Callithrix jacchus: one gene and its partners. The protein of the gene in region 3 purifies or fractionates together with the protein of the main gene of each other region. This does not show direct contact. Links are inferred from orthologs where the notes say so. Each region holds a gene or a part of one and is shown on either strand. Other genes may lie near its edges.

Region 1 (4,337 bases), on a different chromosome or scaffold from region 3:
ATTCTCCTGCCTTAGCCTCCTGAATAGCTGGGACTACAGGGGTGCACCACCATGCCCAACTAATTTTTTGGGTTTGTTTTTTTTTTTAAGTAGAGATGGGGGTTTCACCATATTGGCCAGGCTGGTCTCGAACTCCTGACCTCGTGATCCACCCACCTTGGCCTCCCAAAGTGCTGGGATTACAGGTATGAGCCACTGCACCAGGCCCATATAACTCTTTTTAAAAGTTATGAACCAAGATGACTATACCAGATAAGGCCCAGGTGCTGAAGTTAAAAGGATCTTGGCTTGAAACCTGGCTATCTGGCTATTGTACTTACTAGCTCAGAGACCTAGAGTTGTCAGTTAAACTTCAGGTTACATTTCACTTATCTTTTTGATGAGAGAATAATAATTACTCCTAGGGTCTTAGTAAGCTTTAAATGATTATGTAAAACAGCACAGAGTTTAACATGCAGTTACAGTTTTGATAAATGACAACCATGGTAAACATATTTTAATACTGAAGAAAGTATAGTTGAAGGATACAGCCAATATGTGACCCTTTTGTCTTATTGAAGATGGACATTTGTGACACTCTACAATACATTAAAACTAAAAATCCTAAGGTTTCATAAGGAATTTTCTACTTTTAAAAAAAGATATACTGACTATATAAGGTAAAATGATTTTTTAAAAGAAAAAAGAAAAGCTTGCTGAAAGCTGCCGAGTTTGACTTATGGTTGGGGTACATGCTATTTTTGTGAAAATACCAATTTTGTAACACTATTAATCCAATCCCCAGAACACGCCTAACACACCTCCTCATATTCAGGAGAGATCAAGATTTTAGCCTTGAGATGTACTGAACAATGGTACCTCCCTGCTCAATAGTTCTGTACAGGTCAAGTTTTCTCCGACGAGTTTACCTGTCATTATTATAAAGGTGAGCACAGGGAATAGTTATCAATGCATGGAAGGGTGAAAAAATGCAAGCTTTTCAACTACTTATTAATACTACAATGCACATTCTTCCACATTTTCAAAAACATAAAATACATCCACTTTACTTTTTAAATTACAAGAGCATCACAGGCACGGCCAAAAAAACCTAAAGGTGAACACATCAGAGTTGTCAGTATCTTTAAATTTTGAGGGATGTCATTAATTCACGTAAATGTTTTATCTGATGTTTCTAGGTAGGTTTTGGGTTTTATCACTGATTAACAATATAGCAAACTAGCACAGAGAGAGAGGCAATTAATTTTTTGAAACTCTTAAGAAGCTTTAACCTACAAGAGCTTATGCTACCTAAACTGAGCTGACTAACAAACACAAAAGTTCAAGTCACACCTTGCCTATTTCTGAGTAAGCAAGCAAACACTAGTGAAACAAACCAGAAGCGTGAAGCACAGCAAGTTATTTCTCTGCTAACAATTCCCATCATAAAGGGGTGGCTCTATCAAAAAATATTCCTATTTCATTATTAACACAAGTTTCAAACAAAGCACACTTGCCATTGGTAATTCTGGAGCGACAAAGGGCATAATTAATAAATCCCAATGGATTACCTTTCTACAGAATGCAAAGCCATCTGCAGTTTCAGCCTCGGTTTACCCATTCGCTATGCACATGCAGACGTCTTTAAAACAAACAAAAAGCAATAAACTTTATCTGTCCTGAGAAATTATATCGCTCGGTGCTTCCTGTATACCCTGGAAGTCAATAACGCTGAAGGTAAATTTTAACATTTCCAACTCCCGCGGAACGCGAGCCGTGGACGCCAAGCATCCGCCCACTGGCCTCTCGTGACTCGGGCTACTTTGACGCACCGGGATGCGGCTCACCTGACATTCCGCACCAACCCTTGCCAGCAAGGAAAACCAACTCCGCGAAAATAAAATGGGTCCCCGAGGAGACGTGCGGGTGCCCCCAGAGCTCTCTTCTGCTCGCACCCCAAAAGCTAGGGGCCACGCCGCCCCCGACCCTCGCCGGCGTCCGCCACCTGCCAGACGAGGCCGCGACCGGGGGCCGGGGTTCGGCCGCAAGGAAGGGGAAGCCCAGCCCAGGCCCCCTCGGCGTCCGCCCCGGCCCGGCGGCAAGGGAAGGAACCCGGGGCCAGAGGCTTCCGCCCGCCGCCGCCGAGCCCGCTAGGGGCCTAGCTCGGGGGCCTTCCGTACTCCGGAGGACCCGTCCCCGTCGTGCGGAGCGCGCAGCCGCCTCAGCCCAACCCGCGGAGCCTCGAGGCGGCGGGCGCAGCGTCCGCACCTGCCCTTCGCCTTGCGGCAGCCCCGCGAGCAGCTTCACCCACCTGGCGCCTTCGCCGCTCCTCCCTCACGTCACAGCGCGACTTCGCGCTCCTCGGCACCAGCAACCTGGGAGCGGGCAGGCGCTGGGAGACCCTGCTCTGCCGCCGTCGCCGCCGCTGCAGCCGGCTTGGTCGTCAGGCCGCCGCCAGCGAACCTGTTGCGTAGCCTGTCACGGCCGCTTGGGCTCCGCGGGCGCCGCCTCAGCCCCACAACAACATGGCGGCCGCGGCCTCCGCAGGAAGCCGGGGGGCGGGGAGGTAGGCGCCGGGCCGGGCAGCAGACGGCCCGCCCGCTGCCGGGCACCGACTCCCCACCCTCGGGAGCCCGAAACTGCCCGGGCGTGGCTCCTCGCCCCCGGAGTTCCGGAGCACTGATCCCTGAAGGTCGGCTCGGAATCGCTAGGGCCCGAAGTGCTCCTCTCTGCCCTCGGGGAAGCCCCGAAGCCCCAGACCTGGCAGCCCTTCCTGGAGCTGCGGAGACCCACCTGGCTCCTCCTCCCTGAGGTGACATGCTAAGCTTGGGTGGTGCTTTTCCTGCCACGACAGACCCCGGGGTTTTGGAAAGTGCCAAGCAGTGCCTGGCACATCCCTGTTGCACCCACACGGGGCTTTCCCTGGAACCTTCGCACTCGCCGAAATTTGCTCCACTGATCTGGGGGCACGAGTTCTCTGGGAATTGGGGGGTGGAAGGTGGGAAGGAGGTTCTATTGCCTCTTCAACCCTTCTCTGGGATCTGAAGGACTTCATCATACCTGAGGGTCATCCATTCACTAACCTTTGCCCTCCTCCTGACACACGCAGAGCGTCCCCGGGGAGCACCCTCTACCCTATTCACACTCCCAGGAGCAGCAGGAAGACTCTGTGCCCAGAGAGCGCCAAAGCTCAACTTTCTTCCCCACCCCATAGCCAAGGAACAGTTTTAGCTCAAACTCAGAATGTGTCTCCTTTTTCTCCCCTCCCAGTTCCTGGTCTTGCCCTTCACCAGGCTCTCCTTTAAGGGAAAGGCTTTCTTTTGATTGGGGTGAGGTAGGAGTTAGTATTTCCTAATGAACATAACCAAATGTAAGACTCAAGATTTTGGAATGTAAGATCCAAGGTTGGTTCCTTCCTTCCTTCCTTCCTTCCTTCCTTCTTCCTTCCTTCTTCCTTCCCTCCGCCATGCCTGGCTAATTTTTGTATTTCTAGTAGAGAGTGTTTCACCATGTTGGCCTGGCTGGTCTCGATCTTTTGACCTCGTGATCTGCCTGCCTCACCCTCCCAAAGTGCTGGGATTACAGGCATGAGCCACCACACCTGGCCAAGACCCAAGATTTCTTTGGCTTTTAGGAGGAGGGCGAGGGCGGGTCCAGCATCCAAAACTGGTATCCCCATGATTTGATCTTTGTTAGAGAAACACAGGCCATGCTCTTCTGGGTTTAGATAGCAACAGTGTTTTAATTTAAAATATACAGTGGATCAGATCATTTTGTATTGCTTGGTCCAGTCTGGCCAGGCTTTTTTATTTTTTTCTAGTATTGACATTTTCTTCTCCTTGAGTAAGATAATGTCTTGAGCCAGATCAAATGGCCCCATGGCATCTTCTCATTCCTTACCTGTTGAGGCAGGTGAAGGTGAGAGGGCTGCAAATCCAGGCCTATCTGAACTGGTCAGCCAGCTCACAAGGAATTTAGCAAACATTGATGATGATAAACAGGCTTGTCCCGCTCTCACACTCAGTGTTTTTCCTAAGTCTTTGATTAGAACCTGACTGAGACCTGACAGACAGGTCCTGAGCTTCAGTGACACAGAGAGGCCTGACTCTTCTATCAGTCTAGGAGTCCCCTCACTTGCTGGGGACCAACCAATCTGTCCTCATCTGCAAACAAACCACCCAGGCCAAGGACAGCAATCTTGAGCACATGGCCTCATTCCCATTGCAGACTTCACCAGTTAACTGATACCCGCTTTTGGGGCTCATATTTGAGAGTCAAGGCCCCAGAATCCTTCTCAACATAGTGCTCCAGAGAGTCGGCCTGAGAGGTAAAACCTATTTTTTATTCCTGTTAGGCAA
Region 2 (3,646 bases), on a different chromosome or scaffold from region 3:
CAAGAATGCTTGATGTGCTAACTAAAAGTTCTCCTTATTTACTGACACACTGAGAAGGAAAATTTCACCTAGTAGAATCAAACTAAAACACACCTGAACAAAAACAAACAAAACTTGATTTTATTCCACCAAAGGAGAAATTATTATTTAATTCATTTTAAAGTTTGTGACTCCCCCCTTCCTAATCATTCATTTCCTTTTTACCACAAAAGCTTTAGCCCTCTCCAACACCGGCTCTGAGGACTGTTAGGTAGAGTACATATCAGAGCACCTGACAGTTTATCAGAATTGCCTCTGACTCATGGGTCTTCCAACTACACCTGGCAATGTACACCTGGTAAATGTCTATTAATAATTTTGAATAAATACTCTAGAATATCTTTTTTTTGTACGTTAAAGTAATGTTTGCCTGTCTTTGCTTGTCCATTCTGAAAATTAAAATTTTGTTACTATCTGTCTGAACAAAAGGGAGTTATGGCTAAAAGTTTTCTTTCTTTTGAGACAGGGTCTTGCTCCATTACCCAGCCTAGAACGCACCGGCTTCCAACTCCTGGCCTCAAGTGATCTTTCCTCCTTATTCTCCCAAAGTGCTGGAATTACAGGCTTGAGGCATGGTACTCAGGCTATTTTTTTTATAATGAAAAATTCCTCATTTTTATATTTCATTCACATGAGAGAACCATGTGTTGCTTCTGCAGTAACATAATAAACTGGAAAGAGAGATAAGATTGGCTCAGCCCCTTTCCAGGTATGGGGCTAAATTTATGAAGCCTTCCATAGAATATAGGATGTCCCAGAAATATTTTTAAAAGAGTTTAAAAAGAAGGTTGCCGAACAATGTAATTGGTATGACACAATTACAGTGGTGTTTAAAAAATTATACAACCTGGCTGGGCACGGTGGCTCATGCCTGTAATCCAGGACTTTGGAAGGCCAAGGTGGGCAGATCACAAGGTCAGGAGCCCAGCCTGGTCAACATGGTGGAACCCCATCTCTACTAAAAATACCAAAAAAAAAAAATTAGCTGGGTGTGGTGGCGTGCGCCTGTAATCCCAGCTACTTGGGAGGCTGAGGTAGGAGAATCGCTTGAACCAGGAGGTGGAGGCTGCAGTGAGCTGATATTGTGCCACTGCACTCCAGCCTGGGCGAAAGCACAAGACTCTGTCTCAAAATATATATATGTATACACACAATCCTTACGCTCTCCACCATAAAAACATTTATATTTTTATATAGATTTATACAGAGAAAACAGTCCAGAAAAACACCGTTATCAGTGGTTTATTACAAAACTGTATCATCAAAAACTGGTACATTAATGTTCATAACAGCATTGTTTGTAATAGCCACAACGACCATCAAGTGATGAATTAAAACACATGAATTAAATGGTATATCCATATAATGAAATATTACTCAGTCATAAACAGGAATAAAGGACTGATTCATTTTACAATGTAGATGAACCTTGAAAACATTATGCTAAGTGAAAGTCAGAAGCAAAAGACCATATATTGATGATTCCTTTTATTAAAAAAAAATGTCCTGAATAGGTAAATCTAGAGAGATAGAAAGTAAATTAGTGATAGGAGCTGGAGGGAGAAAGAAATGGGTCTAGCTGCTTAATGGGTAAGAGCTGGGGTGATGAAAATGTTCTGGAATTAGACCAGGACAATGGTTGCATAACTTTGGGAATATACTAAAACCACTGCATTATAAAAAGAAAGACAAAGATGGCATGAATAGATCACTTGGATAATTCTGAAAGGGGATGATCACACACTAACTTGGGGTGGCTCCACTCTGGCCTGCTTACCTCTCGCCTCTCAATTTCCTTCCTCCTCTCCTCTTCTCTCTGCCTTTCTAGCTCCCGCTGCTTTTCCAGTTGCTTCTCCAGCTCCAGTTGTCTTTTGCGCTCTTGCTCCTGGCGCTCACGTTCTTTCCTCTCCTGCTCTGCCCGCTCCAGCTGAGCCAGGCGCTCCTGCTCTTTGCGCTGCTGCTCCAGGAGAGCTTGTCTTCGTTTCTCCAGTTCCAGGTTGCCACGTTCAAAGTTCTCCCGCTTCTTATCTTCAAACGTTACTTCAGACAAGGAACACAGCAACTATGAAAACTCATGATTTTCAACACACTCTTTTCAAAGGAAAACTCACTAGTGTTTTTGAAACCTGTAGAACAAAACCAGGCCCAGAACTCCCTAAGCTTCTGTGCCCTTGTTAATGAGCACAACGAAAATGCCCTTTGCACAACCTCTCTGCTTATATCCTCTCTCCTCCACGCCAAACACTGTTTGTAAAAGATCCTTATCTAGCATCATCACCTTCTATATCATCACCCAGACTCCTTTCTTTCCCTGTTACTCCATCCTCTCCCTTCTTCCCATGAGCTTGCCCTAGCAATTAACCCCCACTCTTTTGGACCATGAGTCTCTGCCTCTCTCTCTCCTTCCCGTTGCCTTATAACTGTGCCAATGAGTCCTCTAATCTAACAAGATTTCTCAAAGCAGAGCAAAAAGTGAGCATTCCGCTTTTCACACTGAAGAACAAGCTTTGCCCTGATCCTTATGGAGATCATAGTCAGTCAACAATTTTAACTCATTATTCAGTTTCCTTCTTTGACACGTCAATTATAAATTTAGAATAATTACTCAGTTCTATCATTTTTTTCTCTAATACTTTGTTTATGTCCATTTTATTTCTTCATTTTCTATAATTCCATCATTACTATCCTCAGCAGTGTCTATTTCATTTCCATGTTGGCCTCACACAATCCTCCTTGGTACCAATCCCAGTCAGGGGAGCACTCATTGCTGGCCTGTGCAGGATGCCAGGCCCTGGGACATGTCTATCTAGGAACCATCGTCTCTCCCTCTGCCTTGAGACCTGCAGCTGTGAGCATCCTTCTTTGGCTTCTTCCCACACTCCTGTTTGGACTTCACTGCTTTTGACAGACTTTCTTCACGTACTGTAGTCAATGATTAGAGATCAAAGAGCACAAGTATGTTTTGGTTTCCTTGCTCTTCTTACATCTTTGGTGATTTCAGAGGAGGCGATATTCTCTACTCTGATATCTTAAAATTCAAAGTCCCGGCCAGGTGCTGTGGCTCACACCTGTAATCCTAGTACTTTGGGAGGCCAAGTCGAGCAAATCACTTGAGGTCTGGAGTTTGATACCAGCCTGGCCAACATGGTGAAACCCTGTCTCTACTAAAAATACAAAAAAAATTAGCTGGGCACTTGTAATCCCAGCTACTTGGGAGGCTGAGGCAGGAGAATTGCTTGAACCCAGGAGGCAGACATTGCGGTGAGCTGAGATCATAACACTGCACTCCAGTCTGGGTGACAAGAGCAGACTCCCATCTCAAAAGAAAAAAATTCAAAGTCCCTCTACCACAGAAAGGGATGATGTTATGATACATGCTGCAAGGAGATGAATCTCAAAAATATTGTGCCAAGTGAAAGAAGTCAGATATAAAAGGTCATATATGCTTCCATTTGTATAATATATCCACAATAGGTAAATCCCAGAAAGCAGATTGGTGGTTGCCAGGGGCTGGAGGGACGGAAGGATGGGGAGCAATGGATATGGAGTTTTATTTTGGGGTGAGGAAAGTATCTTGGGAAAAGATAGAGGTTGTGGTTGCAAGACC
Region 3 (3,646 bases):
GCCAGGAAGGAAAGGTACCCTTGTGGAGTAAGGACTAGGCCTTGGCATCTGTGAAAAATGTCTTTCACCCAGGTCACCCTCTCAACGTGGGACTCATTTCCCACCTCCCATGTCGCCACGGCAGAAGCCATGACAGATTCCCCCTCTGGCAAAAGAGAGCTGGGGCTTGATGCCCAAATGCAGTCTGTTAACACAACTGCGGAGATTGAGCAGACCTCAAGGAACATTGTGGATAAAGGCTGCTTTAAAATGCCTAGTGGCCCCCACAGTTCCAGGCCGTGACGATTTCACACTGCCACTGTCTCTCCCCAGTCTGCCCCCACGGGCCCAAGCCTGCTCAGGAGCAGCGGCTGCCTCTCCACTCCCGCCCCTTCTCTGCTCCTGCCATCTCCTGTGGAGGGTTCCAAGAGAAAGACGAAGAAGCAGGCTTGGGGGTGGCTCAGTCATCAGCCATCCAGCTCTGACACCACATGCTGCTCTGCTGACCCGTACGCTGCCGGCCACTGCAGAGACAAAGCCTCCGTCCTCACGCTCCCGCTCCTTCCAGTCCCCCTGGTATGTCGTGTACAGTGGGCCATGCCCCCGCCCCAGCCACCCGCAGACACATCTAGACTTCTTTCCTCATGGTTGTTTATTCTAGAGCTCGATCATCCTTTCCTTCCCCTTTGCTGGCCGCATGGAATGAGGTCTGAGTTCCTCCTTTTGATCCAGGTGGATTCGTCACTTCCTGTGTCATTTCCATGTCGCTATATCATGCACCAGTTGCAGCATGCATTACAAATTACTTTCCCTGTACTCCCCCCTTGACATCACAGTTGGGGTGTCAGGGCACTAATGGGAATCGTGTGTGTGTTGGATGCAGAGTCATAAAGGGAACACTGTGTTTTGTTGGTTTCTAAAAGGGACAGTGGGTCCAAGGGAGGCGGCTTGGCCATTTGGGTGACACCTCTGGGATGGCAGGTTCTCAGGCTCTCACCTCACAGTGTGGTCATCTGTGAACCACCACTAAGGACAGTCATTTCTCCCAAACCACTAAGCAACACCCTGAATTTTACTGCTCTGCTTGGGAGGATTTGCCTCTTGAGAATTATCTGGCAATTCTCCCAAGTGAAGCCTTCTCTAAGGCCACAAGGCTCTGAGCAACAAGCTCAAAATTGACTTCAGCCCTGGCCAACGGCAAGAGGAGTGCCCTAGCCCTAGGATGCCGGCTGTGTCCAGCCCTGGGGAAGGCAGGGGTGAGGTCGGCTCCTCAACTGGGCCCTGAGGTGCAGACAGGGTCTCCCTATGCTCATCCTCCTGCCGGGAGCCAAGGCACTGACCTTTCCAGAGCAGGGCCTCCCATGGGAGGCAGCAGCAGCCCTGGCTGCCTAGGTCACCCTGCTAGAGGCCCCACGGCCCTGCTGCCCACACTTCCCAAAGGCAGCTGTGGCCAAGACCAGGCCTCCTGCTAGAACCAGCATCATGGCCAGTAAGAAGAAGGCCCAGCTATGTAAGTAGATGGCCTAGGAGCTCTTGAGAGGGGTCAGAGGCCCCTCCTAGCGGAAGACCGTGAACTGACCAGCACGGAGTGCAGGCTTTGAGCTTTGGCACATGCACTTTGCTCAGCCTCTGTCAGGCCAGGGAGAATAAAGGACGCCAGACACAGCAGAAGCCTGCAACAGCTGAAGGGGGGCCCCCTGATCACCACCCCCCACAGGTCTCCACCCACAGGCCCCCTGGAGCCACCCACAGCCACAATGGCCACCTGTCCGGCCTTACCATATGTGTGCTAGAAGGTTCTGGGTGAGGCCCGAGTGCATGAAGATCTCCTTCACCTCCTGGCCACTCACATAGCCGTCCAGGTCCAAGTCGGTCTTCAGGAATATCTCATCAAATCGCATCTTGTCAGCCACGGGCACCACCCAGTTAACTGTTGGCTAAAACAGTTTTTGGCGATTAATCCGGAAGCTTCTGATGACCCACACACACATGATTTTTGATGACAGGTGATTAAAGCATTTCCATGCACATTTGGCATCAAAGTCTCCTCAGTTCCATGAGCTAAGAGGGCAGACAGTATCTTTGTTCTGTAAGTAGTGAAACTGATGCGGAGATAGGCTGAAGCTGGCTCTGAGAAGCTCACCCAGACACCAGTCTGTGCCTCTCTGCACCCCATTACCCACTGTCCTTATCCATCACCCTGCCACCCAGGGCGTGAGGGAGGCTGTGATCTTCATGTGATGGATTCCAGCATGCCAGGAAAGACCCTCTCGAGCACTCTCATTTGGAAGGACCATCCCCTTAGAGCCAGGATGGCCACAGGCCAGCCTCCCTGGACTTCCTGCTCCTCCACCCGCAGAGGCTTCCCTGCAGGCAGCCAAGCAACCCATCCCAGGACTCTCTAGAACACCCTTCTACATCCCTGACCTCAATCCTGAGACAACAAACCCCCCCCCCCAAGATGTCAGGGCACACACATCACTGACAGGTAACAAATAAGATCCCACCATCCAAAAGGGCCACCACCCACAAGGCCCCACCACCATTCACGCAGCCTCAACCCTGCCAGGGCAGACGGAGCCACGAGCCCAGTGCAGCTTGAGGTTCACAGCCCCAGGGCTGGGCCACCTGCTGCACCTGCAGCCCCTCACCACCAGCTCACAGTTAGCCTGAGAGATGCAAACGCCATTGTGGGTCAACCAGGGCCTGGTCACCTCCTGGTTCAGAGGCATCAAGGCCCCTCAGCACTCAGGGTCAGGCCCCTTTTGTGGCCCACTCTGCCTGCATCGCCGCGGGGCCTCCAACATACCCATCACACCACAGTCCACGGAATCTGTGTTCTGAACTCTAGACATGCTTTTCCTCTTCCCGTTTTTTGTTTTTTTTTTTGTCGTATTTATACAAATCACTCCTTTTAAACAATCTCATAATAGCAATGAGAATAAACACCTGAGATGATGAAGGAAAGAAAGGAAGGGCATATACGGCTGGAGGATTCCATCGTTCCTCCTCCAGCGACTGTACAGAAAAGCGCCACCCACACTTCACCTTCAGTGAATGCCATGATGCCTGAAACTGCCACTCAAAGTCATTCCTCTTAGTTATGAAAGGATTTCCTAAGCCAGGTGCAGTAGCTCACACCTATAATCCCAGCACTTTGGGAGGCCAAGGTGGTTGAGGTTGAGGCTGGTTCCGTTCCTGAGGCTAGCTGAGAGCACCTGAGTCCAGGAGTTCAAGACCAGCTTGGACAAAATGGCAAAACTCTGCCTCTCCTAAAAATACAAAAATTAGCCAGGTACGGTGGCGCATGCCTATAGTCCCAGCTACTCGGGAGGCACAGGTTGCAGTGAGCCAAGATCATGCCATTGTACTCCAGCCTGGGCGACAGAGGAAGACTCCATCTCTTAAAGAGTTCTCACAGTGTTGCCAACCCGAAGATGTCCACAGGATTAGGAGGAGAAAGGACTCATGGTCAAGGCTGGGAAACAATGGATAAACTCATTTACTCTTCATGAACAAGTCTCCTGTGATGTCCAGATCTAACAGGCTTCTGATACAAACTCAGGGAATTCAGAAAGCAAACTTGAGAAAGAAGGGATACCATGTGAACCAGACCGGCTTACTTCGGGGGTTTCAGGCAGCAGGCATGTGTGATGAAGCACAGCGA

Evidence for each region.
Region 1: the proteins of EPS15L1 (region 3) and ITSN2 purify together in Homo sapiens (affinity purification with mass spectrometry; 5 studies listed by BioGRID and IntAct, with this or other methods). This does not show direct contact. The link is inferred for Callithrix jacchus from reciprocal best matches to the Homo sapiens genes EPS15L1 and ITSN2.
Region 2: the proteins of EPS15L1 (region 3) and ITSN1 purify together in Homo sapiens (affinity purification with mass spectrometry; 4 studies listed by BioGRID and IntAct, with this or other methods). This does not show direct contact. The link is inferred for Callithrix jacchus from reciprocal best matches to the Homo sapiens genes EPS15L1 and ITSN1.

The regions. Positions count from the first base shown.
Region 1 is NC_133515.1:90,872,107-90,876,443, reverse strand, and holds the start of ITSN2 (intersectin-2), read right to left. Parts: upstream 2,937-4,337; 5' UTR 2,773-2,936; intron 2,523-2,772; exon of another isoform or gene 2,291-2,522; intron 1,780-2,290; exon of another isoform or gene 1,551-1,779; intron 1-1,550.
Region 2 is NC_133522.1:39,846,153-39,849,798, reverse strand, and holds part of ITSN1 (intersectin-1), read right to left. Parts: intron 2,080-3,646; coding exon 1,817-2,079; intron 1-1,816. UniProt on the Homo sapiens protein: Adapter protein that provides a link between the endocytic membrane traffic and the actin assembly machinery. Acts as a guanine nucleotide exchange factor (GEF) for CDC42, and thereby stimulates actin nucleation mediated by WASL and the ARP2/3 complex.
Region 3 is NC_133523.1:15,035,895-15,039,540, forward strand, and holds part of EPS15L1 (epidermal growth factor receptor substrate 15-like 1), read right to left. Parts: intron 1,917-3,646; coding exon 1,759-1,916; intron 1-1,758.